Drosophila melanogaster: one gene and its partners. The protein of the gene in region 1 interacts with the protein of each later gene in a pairwise test. Each region holds a gene or a part of one and is shown in the gene's direction. Other genes may lie near its edges.

The links.
Region 2: the proteins of obst-A (region 1) and Naa20B interact in a two-hybrid assay, tested with the Drosophila melanogaster proteins (one large-scale study listed by BioGRID).
Region 3: the proteins of obst-A (region 1) and CG43386 interact in a two-hybrid assay, tested with the Drosophila melanogaster proteins (one large-scale study listed by BioGRID).

Annotation. Positions count from the first base shown.
Region 1 is NC_004354.4:20,238,090-20,243,755, forward strand, and holds obst-A (obstructor-A), read left to right. Parts: upstream 1-1,765; 5' UTR 1,766-1,888; coding exon 1,889-1,937; intron 1,938-2,972; coding exon 2,973-3,176; intron 3,177-3,521; coding exon 3,522-3,725; intron 3,726-3,795; coding exon 3,796-4,052; 3' UTR 4,053-5,120; downstream 5,121-5,666.
Region 2 is NT_033779.5:13,255,780-13,259,144, forward strand, and holds Naa20B (N(alpha)-acetyltransferase 20 B), read left to right. Parts: upstream 1-1,697; 5' UTR 1,698-1,900; coding exon 1,901-2,515; 3' UTR 2,516-2,865; downstream 2,866-3,365. Other genes in the region: l(2)k05911 (lethal (2) k05911), read left to right, coding at 1-785, 842-977, 1,056-1,352, 1,410-1,565.
Region 3 is NC_004354.4:9,974,406-9,979,022, reverse strand, and holds the start of CG43386 (uncharacterized protein), read left to right. Parts: upstream 1-1,617; 5' UTR 1,618-1,864; intron 1,865-4,617. Other genes in the region: CG15252 (uncharacterized protein), read left to right, coding at 34-177, 244-303, 429-818.

The DNA of each region.
Region 1 (5,666 bases):
AGCGGATCGATCGCATCTCCCAAGGACAGCGGCTTTTGGGTCATTGCGTGGCCGCTTAGCATATTTATGCATATATTATGTACATATATTACCGGCATGCTCCGCCGCTTGGCCGCTGGAAGCATCGGGATGACACAGTTTTCCATCCCATGGGCGTAGCTCCTCGGAAATGGCTACACCAAACCAACCCCCCCCCCTCCCCTCCCCCACCAATCACCTGTAGACCAGTTCCCAAGCAGGCAAAACTAGAAATTCTATATTGTATCAGGCATTTCATTGGATTCCTATGGATCACCATGTTTCTAATAGATATACAACATTCAATTTGTAAGATACATTTATTACATTAGTACTTGCTCTTGTTAATTTCATCATATTTTAATATTTCTAAATGATAGTTTATAAAAATGTGCTCTTATTTCAATTATACATATATAATGTATATTATCTTACCTTATTTTACCAAAAGTAATAATGCTAAATTTTTGATTTGCGGGAGTGGCGTTTAAGACATTACCTTCCAACTAATTGGGTGTGTTACTCATTACCAAGTCTTTCATCCGTCCGTCTGCATATATGCAATGTATATATAGTATAATTTAAAGATACAGATCCAGACCGAAACTACGCCCATGGCGTGTCCTCTTCAGCCTTGAAGTCTCAATTTTTGGCTGGCACTTTGGACGAAAGGACGGTCTTCCAACTCCAACTCGTCGCCAAATGGATGGTACCTGTTTGGCTGGCCTTTTGGTCGATCGATGTAAGCCATTTGCATGCGGACCATCAACCCGGCCAACTCAATTCGAGCCAACTGAATTCGGGGATCGTTGACGCATATGAATTTATTTACGTTCATTTTCGTGTGTGTGTGTGTGTTGCTTTTTTGGTCACATCGACACACTGATCGCAGGGAACGCATACCCTACTCGAACCGCATCCATCGGTCGCTCGATCGCATTTGGTTATTTGACGGTCAATACCCGGAAATGTGCAGCTGACCAGATGGCTTACAAGCTGGAATTTTGTATTTTTGCACAGGGTCAACTATTTATTACTCTATATGCCTAAGAACCACCCATTTTTAGCATATAATTTTATTTTTAAGCGAAACAATTGAATTGAAACGCTAATGGAAATCAATTTAACATCTTCTCTACCTGCATAAATGACCGCTAGATGGCTCTGCAGATCAAGATCACTAAAGAATTTGCGGCATTAAAACTGTAATTATACGATAAATAACATTGTTTTTCTTTTTTTTTAATAGCCTTTGAGTATTCTTAAGAGTTCGCTTACAAATACATAGAAGCATTTCCTAATTCTTCCAAGATTTCGATGTAATCTCCAAGTCATCTGATACAGGTGACGCCTTCAACACAGTTGATCAATGCGCGGCCTGAAGAATTCGCGTGGTGCACATTAAGCTAGGGCATCTGGCCAGCGGTTTTCCGGTCCTCGCCCCTGGACTTTCTTGTTTTTGTGCCATTACATCTCTGGCTCGCCTTTCTTCGTCGCCTTTGGAGCCCCGGCTCCATTCCATTCCCATATCCAGTCCAGCTCCAGCCGCAGCTCGTTTGGCCTGGCTCGGTTTCGTGTGGTAGTAGTAGTAGTAGTGGTGGTGGTGGTGGTGGTGATGGTAGTGGCAGTGGCAGTGGCGGGGGCGGTAGTGGCCCCGCCCATTGGCATCACTCTGCCGCAGCCGACGGCGTCGTCGCGTCGTCGGCGACGTCGAGCAGAGCCGGTAAAAAGTCTTGAAAAGTGCGCCTCTTTGGCGTTCCGTTGTTAGTTTAGTTTAACCATCGCAGCGCTTGAGTCGCGATTAGTTGCTCAAGTATCCAGTTGCCAGGATCGTTGCTCTGCTTTTTTTTTCTCAGACCCCGAGTCCAAAATGAAGTTATTTTTATGTGCCATTGCTGTGACCCTGTGTGTGGCGACAAGTGAGTGTGAATCAATGGATCCGTGGGAATGGATCAATGGATCGTTCAATGGATCAGTGGTGCCCAGTTCAAGTGACTGACGACTGACTGGCCAGTGCCAGCCCATCCGCCAAGTCAGAGTCGCAAATTGTTGCTAATTACTTTGACACTGACACCGAAATCAAGACTCGATCTCGATCTGCTGCCGCTGTGTGTTTTGGCCAGCTAAGTAGCTAAGTAGCTAAGAGCTAAGAGCCATAAGTAGCTAATCATATTTAGCCGTCTCGCAAGACTGGGCCTCAGACGCAAATGTTGAATCTGGTCGCGATTGCGGATCTACAGGCCACATGCAGATCGAGATGGAGGGCCGTTTTCCGTCTGGAAAAACTGGAATGCTGGCCAAGCCCAAGATGCTGTCTGGCTGTCTGGGCCGCTGGGGTTATGCAACTCATGCAGTTTGTTGGCCAAGTGGAAAACGGCTCTTCTGGGCCGCAAGAGAAGTGCATTGAACCCGGACCGAACGTCGTAATCTTGGCATTATGCTGAGTATGAAGCCTTCTCTGACATTTAAATTTCGACATTTCGAATCACTTACCGGTGTGTTACGGAAATCCAAAGAATTCGCGTAGTTTGAATTCCCAATTTCGGTTGTAGAAGATATTGTCAGCATAGCGAATGCAAAGGTGTATAGAAGTATGCAGTGATTTTCGCATTGTATACATTTTTTATAGCTATCCTTTAGGCGCCCAAGTAAGAGATTTCACATTGGTTGAGTAAATAGTACTAACCTATATCTAGCTTACCGAAGTCAGTGGGATTCTGGTCAAATGTATCAAGCGATAGCAACCTGTTCCAATGGAAAACCACTGATCATTTCTTGGGCCACCGGGAGTGGTGGCAACCAGGAAACCGCAAATGCGGAATTGCCATCGGTAATCGAACGTCGTTCGATCTGTTACACTTTCGAGTGCGACTGGGGGTCGCCAGGAAAGTGAAAGTGGGAAAACCAGTTGACTGAAGTGCTTGTTTCTTTCCTTTGTTTTACCCCAACACCAGCCGTGTCCGCCGCCAACTTCGAGTGCCCGAAGCCCAATGGCCAGTTCGCCGATGAGGTGCAGTGCGACAAGTTCTACGTCTGCGACGACGGAGTGGCCAAGGCGAAGCTCTGTCCCGATGGCCTGGTCTTCGATCCACTCAACCGCAAGTTCAACAAGTGCGACCAGCCCTTCAATGTGGACTGCGAGGACCGCACTGAGCTCCGTAAGTAGCCCATCCCATCACCATTTCTATTTCTAGGCTATTGTTACCGACCCCTTGGGAATGGTCACGAAAACTATGTCAAGGCAGAGCGCTAAACAGGTTATTCCAATTACATCATTACATCACCATTAACTATGTAGGGAGTTAAATTTAAATTCGCCTCTTAAGTTCAAATTTAGCTTACTAATGAAAGCATCAGTTGAAAGGATGAATTTGTAGCATACTTTTGGACATCTCTATATTTAAAGCAAATACACCACTACAATGAGCTATCCAAAAGTTATGTAGTTGTGTAGCTCCTTTGGTAGACGGAGGAACTAACCCTGTTCGGTTTCCCCTTCACAGAGGAGCCGAAGTCCAGCAAGTACTGCCCGCGCAAGAACGGCTTCTTCGCGCATCCCGATCCCGCCGTGTGCAACATCTTCTACAACTGCATCGAAGGCGACGCCCTGGAGACCAAGTGCACCGTCGGCCTCCACTTCGACGAGTACTCGGGCACCTGCGTGTGGCCGGATACCGCTAAGCGCGAGGGCTGCAATCCGGAGCAGAGTAAGTGGACCGATTGAGTCGCCGTGCGGCGGAGTGGGCTAATGGTCTGGCATGTGGTGTGTACTTTCAGGAACCTCCGAGACCGGCTTCGTGTGCCCCAAGGATCAGCCAAAGACCGACGATCGCGGCCAGGTGGTGACCCACCCCAAGTATCCGCATCCCACCGACTGCCAGAAGTTCTACGTGTGCCTGAACGGCGAGGATCCCAGGGATCTGGGCTGCCAGCTGGGCGAGGTCTACAACGATGCCACCGAGATGTGCGATGCTCCCGAGAATGTGCCCGGCTGCGAGGACTGGTACAAGGATGTGGACGACAAGAAGGACTAAGCCACTTCCGGTCGCTTCTACTTCTCCTCATCACATCCACACTCACAACTCATGCACATGCACACGCACACACAAGCACACTGAAAGAAATTATCAATCAAATCAAATCGAAACAATTCGAAACAAATCAACACACAGATTCGCGTCTTAGTCACTTAAATTTAGTAGTTCTAGCCCATTTCCTATAGAGCGTATGTGTAGCAGTTAAACTTCAATACTCTGACCTATCTATTTCTTAACTATCTTTCTCTATATCTGACTACTTCTAACTACTTTTCTAACTACCCAAATCTCCATTTCTGTGCCCAACCAAACGCTGCCAAATTGTTGTGTATATATTTCCCGCTTTCAGACTTTCGCCTTATTATTATACAAAAAGAATAAACTGAATTTTTTATAAACTATCTATATCTATCTATCTACTATAAACTATCTTCCCAATCCCAAGACTACTACTATTCCATATACTGTTTCAGCTATCCTATGTGATCTTCGCCTAAAATTTCAATTTCCCTCATCTCTACGTTACTCTACTTAACTTCTTATCATATTCCAAAACCAATTTTCTGTCTATAAGGAAACCCACTCTTTACAAACTTTTGTCCTCCTAAAATTTTCAAACTTGAATCTTTTCCGTTCTCTTTTCTTGATTTCTTTCTTTCTATCTTTAAAATTTCAATTTAGTTCGTGTTTTATTGTTTTGCGAACTGTTACGCTACAGTTTATTATTCCTAAAATGCTCCTTTTTTAAGCATTTCAATCCTGTAATCTTGTATTTCACTTCTACCTCAAGTTTCAAATCTAAATCTTTTCTATACATTCTATCTTCCTCATAAATATTTCCTTGTATTTCGATTATACCTACTGTATAAATACTCTTTTAGACTATGCTATATGTTATTTATTAATAAACATCTTGACTTGCCTGCAAAATCCAAACGATAAGAAATTTTCACGTACCTTATTTAAGTAATCATTCAACCGACTGTAAACCCATGACACCCAAACTCACTTCCCATTCTCCGATCTTTCTCGAATTAAAAAAAACTATGTATTTCGAATCTATACAAAACTAGTGTGCATCTCGTGGGGAAATAGCAAAAAAAGGGAGGGGGGGGGGGGGGGGTTGAGTGGTCGATTGACCAATCAATCAAACCTTTCACTCCACACGCAATATCGGATAATCGCCGTGGACGGGCGGGATCGGTGCATCCATTATCCATCATAGCCCTTTGTCCCTCCATCGGTTGCAAAGAGTCTTTAATTGGCCGAGTGGCCAAGCGGACCGCACATTTACACATGTAAATGAACACAAAAAGCAGGCAAGAGTGCTTATGCAATCGCCGCAGCACGAGCAAAGCAAAGCAAAAGCAAAAGTTTTGCAATAGTTAACAATGTAACGGCAATCGGCAAACGGGGCCCAATCATGAATGAAGCTTATGGTCTGCGCGAGCTTTGCCTTTTACTTTCAATCACACATGTTGCCAGAGAAGCTCGATTTCCGCCTTGGCGTGTTTTTCTTTTTCAAGCCAGGAAATGGACCCGAACTAGCTAGGAAACTAGCTAAATCATTGGCAGTGTGGAGCGAAAGCGACCTTGTGCACAGCGTGGATG
Region 2 (3,365 bases), on another chromosome or scaffold:
GTATTCCCACTCCCTGGAACAACGACAACGACGACCACGACTACGGAGATGCCTTCAGTGGTGGCTGATGAGGAGGATAGGGAACATGTGATTCCCGAGGGAGAAGTGGAGGGTGTATATCCTCCGGATGTTCCTCGACCGGAAGAGCCCATTGACAATGCGAACAGTGTGGAGGATACGCCGGATTTCCAGGACATCAACACGATTGAGGGTAATCCTCCAGGAGCAGATAAAAAACCGGAAGCAGAACCGGTGGGGGAACCGGTGGAGCAGCCTATTTCCACCCAACCAGCGTCTACCATTCATCCCTACCAGTGGCCTTTCGGTTCCTTTGCTGGCGGCCAGTGGCCACCAGCGCTACCGACTCACCCACCCACAACGGGTGGTTGGCCACCACCGCTGCCCACCCATCCGCCGAACCACCATTATCCCACGCACCCCACCACAGGAGGAGTTCCAAGCACCAAGCGCACCACACCAAGGCCCACAAGCCCAGCCAGACCGACAACCACTAGGCGACCCACTTATCCTAGTTATCCCTCGCCAGTTACAACCACGACAACTACGAGACGTCCTGTGAGCGGAACTAGTTCGGAAGGACTTCCGCTGCAGTGCGGCAATAAGAATCCAGTGACGCCCGACCAGGAGCGGATCGTTGGCGGCATCAATGCCAGTCCACACGAATTTCCCTGGATCGCTGTGCTCTTCAAGTCGGGAAAGCAGTTCTGCGGCGGCAGTCTTATTACCAATAGTCACATTCTGACCGCAGCTCACTGTGTGGCACGGTGAGGAATAAGACTGTGTCCTTTTAGAATATCCTAAAAACTTGTGGTTATTGCAGCATGACCTCGTGGGATGTGGCGGCCTTAACAGCCCATCTGGGTGACTACAACATCGGCACGGACTTCGAGGTGCAGCATGTTTCCCGCAGGATCAAACGACTTGTGCGGCACAAGGGTTTCGAATTCAGCACTTTGGTAAGAGAATCCAATCTATGTTTCTGAAAGACCTAGTGATTTCCATCATTATATTCAAATGATAATCCTCTTTCCCAGCACAACGACGTGGCCATACTGACGTTGAGTGAACCAGTGCCCTTCACCAGGGAGATCCAACCAATTTGCCTGCCCACCTCGCCCTCGCAGCAATCCCGATCATACAGTGGCCAAGTGGCCACCGTGGCCGGATGGGGAAGTCTTCGGGAGAATGGGCCACAGCCATCCATCCTGCAGAAGGTGGATATTCCCATTTGGACAAATGCCGAGTGTGCCAGGAAATATGGACGTGCAGCGCCTGGTGGGATCATTGAGTCGATGATTTGCGCTGGTCAGGCAGCCAAAGATTCCTGCAGTGTAAGTGATGATATATATAAGTGATCATCAAGATTCTCAGACTGATTTAATTTATAGGGCGACTCTGGCGGACCCATGGTCATCAATGATGGTGGACGGTACACCCAGGTGGGAATCGTGTCCTGGGGCATTGGTTGCGGCAAGGGTCAATATCCTGGCGTCTACACTCGTGTCACTTCGCTGCTGCCCTGGATCTACAAGAACATTAAATAACATAGGATTTCGATTAGTCTAAGACGTGATATGCTGCAATATATTAAGAGCGAACGATTTAATAAAATGTCAACATTATTGTAGATCTAGACTTTCGAAAAGCCTAAAAGTATGCCGGGATTTTGCGTCAAGTTTTCTTTTCTTTAATTGCGATACGAAGAAATAGTTGAATATTTGAAATCTCTTTCGTTAGTTCATCGGTGATTTCGAGATCTTTAAAACATATTTTGGTTTAGCGTACAAAGTAGTAACTGAGGAAAAAAAATATGTCACATTAACAAAGTAAACATAATATTGAACAAGATAAAAAAATTCCTATTATATCCCAGCGAGTCATGACTTCTCCGAGATTGTTTGTTCTCGAAGATCTGTTCAAGTTTAACAATATTGTGATGGATCCCTTGGCGGAAGTGTACTCCTTGCCATTCTTGCTTCCCAAGATTCTGGAGCATCCCGAACTGGTTCTTGCCGCCGATGCTCCTGACAATAGTCTCATGGGCTTCATTCTGGGGACACGCGTCGAGGATGCGACTGAATCTTTTGGAGATGCAAAGACTATGACCTGGAATCATGGACACATCTCTGCTCTGGCCGTAGCTCAGGATTATCGTAAACTGGGCTTGGGCACTCGGCTCTTAACAACCGTTAGGGATATGATGGATCGTCAGAAAGACTTTTATATAGATCTATTTGTGCGAGAGAAGAATACAATTGCCATTGGGCTTTACGAGTCCTTGGGATATGTGAAATATCGCTGGATACCTAAGTTTTATGCCGACGACCATGGATACGAAATGAGACTACCTTTGTCCAGCGATGTGGATAGGAAATCCTTAGAGGGAATAATAATCAAGAAAATCTACAGCTTTGGCAATAAGTTGTACTATCTGCTGATGTTTTACATATTCGGAATTATAGCTATAGTTATTGGTGGAATATTGGTTGAATAAGCAATTGTAGTAAAACCAAACTATTAAACTTTATTTGGCATCAAAACGTATAATTTATACCACTTAGGAAACGTCCAGAAAAAGTTCATTGCACTCGGACGCCATCGTTCAACTAAAAGTTTGAACAAATCGCTCAAAGTAAAAAATGAAGACCAGAATATGTATGTCAGAAAGCATATGGAAACAAGATTTGTTTATATGACAACATTGAACCAGAATTTTCAAATGCTGTGCGTTTCAAGTTGCGCAAAATGGCAAATTGTGAAAATCATTGCGCGTGTTTCAGACACATGCCCCAACCAGACTACACTTTATATTTATATATGTATAAATTTTCTAATTTGTTTGCTTTTGAGAAATGTAGCTAATAAAAAAGACAACAACGAAAGCCTTGACCATCTCGAAACGGAAATTTGCAATTGAATTTGGTTTGGCAAACGACACGAACATCAATGCGTTTCGGTTAAAGAACATATATATGTATATGCATTGCCAACATTAGAGTGGACCTTAACGTTGAGGATTCAAAGCAAGACTTTTTATAAATTCTAAAGTAAACGATTTTAAAAACAAGCACTAATCTCTTCATTTGTTTGTTATTTAGCTTTTATATCATTTGATGAGATTCCACTGGCAACATTGCGTATGAATGATGACCTAAAGGGCCACTCTTTATACGACTGAGGTCCACCCTAGTTAGCATTTATCTGTATTTCTACCTATAGTTGGCCTTTGTGCGTCAACGGAAATTGATCTTCCTCTAAAAATTCACCTCAATGGATTTTCTTTAATTAGCTATGTAATCCAAAAAAAAACTTTTAATTTAATCTGAAGGCAACGCGGTTGCACT
Region 3 (4,617 bases), about 10 Mb from region 1:
CAAGGGTATTTAAATAGAAAAACTATCTTTTAGCCTGGAGGCCTAGATGTGCAAGGTCTGATTCAAACGGGAACCTCGCTGATCTCTGGTCTTCTGGGCGGGAATAAGAACTTTGGCCTCGTGTTGGGACAATATGTGGGCACTGCTTTGGATGGTCTCTCTGGAGGTGGTGGAGCGGTGGGTTCCTCAAACCTATTTTCATGAATTTCCAGTCATTTTACTTGCATATATTATTTTTTCCAGATTAACAATGGCCAGTTTATAGGCAACTTCTTGGGCACTGTGCTGGCCGCATTGAGCGCTGTATTTATATATTTTGCTTATATATATATTTACCTTCTAGATCCCAACCTCATAACTGTGTTACTAACCCCTGAACGTCATTTATTTAGCGAGTGCAATAAACAACATTCTACAATCTTTAACAGGATCCCGAGGAGGAGGGCCCACCGCAACCATTGACCTTCACCAAGAACCTGATCACCAGCTTCCTGGAGGCAAAGTTTCGACCAATTTCAGAGGACGGCTCAGAGGAGCGACACGGAAGTGCGGAGTTGCCACGCCCGCGAAAGAAGAAGGAGGGCGGTGGATGGGCAGCTGCGGCGGCAAATAACTTTGATTCTGGAGGATTTGTGAAGCAAGTGGCCTCCCATCTGGTGAGCAATGCCCTTGGATTGATTTTGAATGCCGGTCTGGGAGCCGCTGGAGGAGCTTCGAGTGCAGCCAAGAATATTTTCGCCAGCAGCAGCATGGGTCATCATGCCAAGCCGGCAGATCACCATAGATCTTGGAACCCCTACCATAATGAGCCATTCTAGCCAGCTTAGTCATCACATAATCATAGTTACGTTAATCGTTTGTGTTAAACCCATTTTTTTTTTGCTAGTTCGTAACCGAAATAAATAAAGAAGTGAGGAGAAAGACTTGTTGGTCACTTGGGCAGCTAAGAAAGCGTAAAAGAGGGGCTCTAAATCAAGTGGCGTAACAGCTTGGACAGCGGCTGATGCAAGAGATCCGATGGAATTCAGTGGGAGCCACTGCAATGAACCACTCCCCCAAGGATGCGGTGGGGCAAATCACTGGATGGAAACGCAAAAAGCGAAAGCTCGCAATGAGCGGAAGTAAAAACTAAGTAAAGGTTGAGGGGTGAAATAGCTTGTTTGGGTTCATTTCCTCAAACTAAAGTTCAGTGGAAGGTAGAACAGGGGAATGAACTACGGATTTCGGCTCAGGAGTTTCGCTTCAAAAATTAGTTTTAAATACATTTGGCAATACCTTAATTAACTAATATTTAAATTAAAAAGATAGAATTAATATATATTTTGTAACCCAATAGCCTAATAGCGAATATTTTTGGATCTTCTTGACCCAAGAGTTTTCCCTGAACCTTTCTCCGTGGGCCAACTACTTGGTAGCTTGCCCAATGGAGCGGGCATTGTGTCACTTTCTACTGATTACAGGTTTCATTAAAATGCTTTTACTTGTTTACTTCTGGTGCTTTCTCTGACTCTCTCGCTCTCTCTCTTCCGCCTGCTCTCTCTCTCTCTCTCTCATTCTGTCTTTCTCTTTTTTTTTTTTGAAGTGGGCTGAATATTTTTTTAGCGGCGAGTTTCAGTTTTCAGTTATGCGTGAATCTTTCACAAGACAAAGTGACATTTTGCGGGCCGTTTAGTTGTCGCGTTTTTAATTTGAAAAACTTCAGGTTGTGTTTATTGTTTTGTGTTTTTCTTGTGCGCTCAGTGTTTGTGCTGGTTTATTTGCATTTTGAAATTGTTTATGAACTCAATTATATATTTGGGTGCTTCGGAGAGTTCGCATTGCAATTAAGTTTGGCAAGCCGCATTTTTATTTTATTATATTTCGGGTGAGTATGTATATAAGGCGGCTGAAAGCCGAAAAAAAGGGAAATAAGCGACAATCCCAGCTCAAAATGTATGTCAAAACGAAAGACTTAGGCAACGAACTTGCTAACTGGGCTAAGCCTCAACTGAAAATGCTGGCATAGGTCAGGTCTGTTCCAAAAACAAACAACACTACGGGGGGCTATTAATGGAGGGGGTTATTGAAGAGGGGGGGGGCGCTATTGGTTAGCGTTCGTCCATTAATCGCTTTGGCTACCGAAATTTGGCAACAGCGCCGACGTCAACAATGCAAAAGTGAAGATTCAAATGCGTTAATTGCTTCATAAATCAATTAACAAGAGCCTAACCAATCGTAAGCCGAAAAAAGGGAGAGTTTTATTGTTCTCCTATGACTTACGCTTTGTGTTCAGTGTCATATTTGATTGTTGATTATATTAAGCTATATGGATGGTGTCCAACATTTACTGGTTGACGTGCTACTTAAAATGCTATATAAATTACAAATTTTACATACATTTTAAAAAGGTTTTTTGTTTTTATAGGGAAGTGATTTGAGGGAACTTTCCTTTTTACTCTATTTCATTCGCATTTCATTTGAATTTTCGGGGTTAACTACCTGGTAACCTACTACTCATATTCGGCCTGACCCCTGGTCGCTGTCATGATTGAGGATGAACCAGAGTCAGAGCTAAAAAGACACTCAAAAATTAAAAAAAAAAACAAAAAAAATCACCAACTTGTCTGGGCCATGCAAGAGTGGCCTGGCCCAAAGAAACCGGTAACGGTCTCAAGGTCGTTCGTCGAATCGATGGCTCTGGCCAGATAAGCCTTAGCCCAAGATACAGCAGCCAGTTTAGCCATCAACGCGCTTTGGGCCAAAAGCTAAAAGCTATCAGCCATCAACTCTAAGGCATAAGCAATAACAAAACTCAGTGATGATAGCTGGGCCAAAATAAAAAATAAATAAATAAAATCGAAAACGAGGAAAAAAGCGAAAGTGAACGCCATGAAAGTGGAGCAGTCGAGCTGGAAATCCGCCGAAGGCAAACCGGCGGGGGGGGGGGGGTTGCGTCTCTTCATAAACAAAAAGATATATATGCAGGTGTCATATCTAAGTCGGTCAATAAGTTTATTGACCAGGCGACGCTCCAAATTGTGCGGTTGTTTCGGGAGAGTTATGCAAATCGATTGTGGCAACCCGATATCGAAAAGCGTAGAAACTTATGGCCGTTAAACAATGCACCCTTTTATATTTTTCGGGCCGATTAATATGCAAATCTCGAAATTTCTTATCCACCACTCGATATGTTGTGGCTTTATGTTTCAATTATGAGCGTTAAAGTCCGTATCGCAGATCTTGTATTATACGAATTTTCACACATTTTTTATGATGATATTTTTCCTGGGCAGTAAATTATAAGTTGATGCGGGTCTGGGCGAATGACTGTTTATGTTATTACCGGAGTGTTTTTGCCTATTATAAAATATGTTTAATACTCTTGAGTTTTATTTGCTTGGCAATTTCATAAGCCTTTGGCATTTTCGTTTAGCTTAGAAGTGATTTCCAATTTACGCCTCATTTAACAGCACTAAGTTCTGCACGGCAATTAAGCAAAGTGATCAGATTTGAAATGCCTTTCAAAATATCTAATGCCAAAATGATATTATTACGGGGCGACCTTCGCCGGCCGCCAGTGGCGAGATTTATTAATACTATAATTACAATAATGGCTGAACAAACAAATAAACGCTACATGACAGCAGAATCTGAATCTCCGGCAACCTTTGCGCAAAATCAAACGAATCATTTTTGCCTGGCCAAGAACAAAGTTCGTTTGTCCGATTCTAATACTAATTCTCAGACTGAGTTTTCAGTGAATGGTGGTCAGTTATTTAGTCTGTCGGCAACGCCTTTTCCAATTAAATTCGACCCGGCTATTGGGTACAAAGCAAAAGCACTCGATGCGAAAGATTGGCTTACAAACGGTCTTAATATAAACCGAATTAACTTTATTTTTCCATTAGAGTATTACACATGTGGTGCAAATCTTCGTGGGATTTGCTAAGTTAATTGCAACTTTTTAGAGATTGTCTACACACAACAACTAAAAGTCATTTGAACGTATCTCTTAAAACAAAAATATCAATTCTTTGGCAAGACGTTCTATTGCTTAGTGATTGGTTTTAAAGATATATGGTACCTCTTTTTTTTATATCTTGCCTATACCTGGCACATATTTATTTTGGCATATTTTAGATATTTATTAATAAGTAATCCCAGTCTTAAAAACATTTCCTTGGTCAAATGTCAAATGTACTGGCCGTAAAACACTTGCGCAAAGCCATCAGCAGTTCATTAGAGGCCCATTGCTGCGGCGGAGTTGAATACATTAGATGGAAATGGATGCGGAATCGAGTGCTGGCTTCTCCTCCATCTGGTTAACGAGCCGCACTCTCGGTCCAAATGAATTGGTTAATGGGTAATGGTTATGACCGTCTTCCCAACTTGCGGCGTGTAAACGGTTACTCGTTAAGCAAGGGGGTGCCCAATAGACCTGTTACCCGTTTCACTATATCTATTTTCCATTTTAATTTTATTATTAATTTTTTTTTCTCTGTTTTTCCTGCGTGCACTTAGCGGAGTCATTGTGGCCAGAACAGCGATGAGCAGGTGACATTAATGCCATGGCCCAAAACTGAGCAAAACCACACAAAAAAAAAAGAAAGAAAAAATAGCAGCCAGCGCATAATGCAT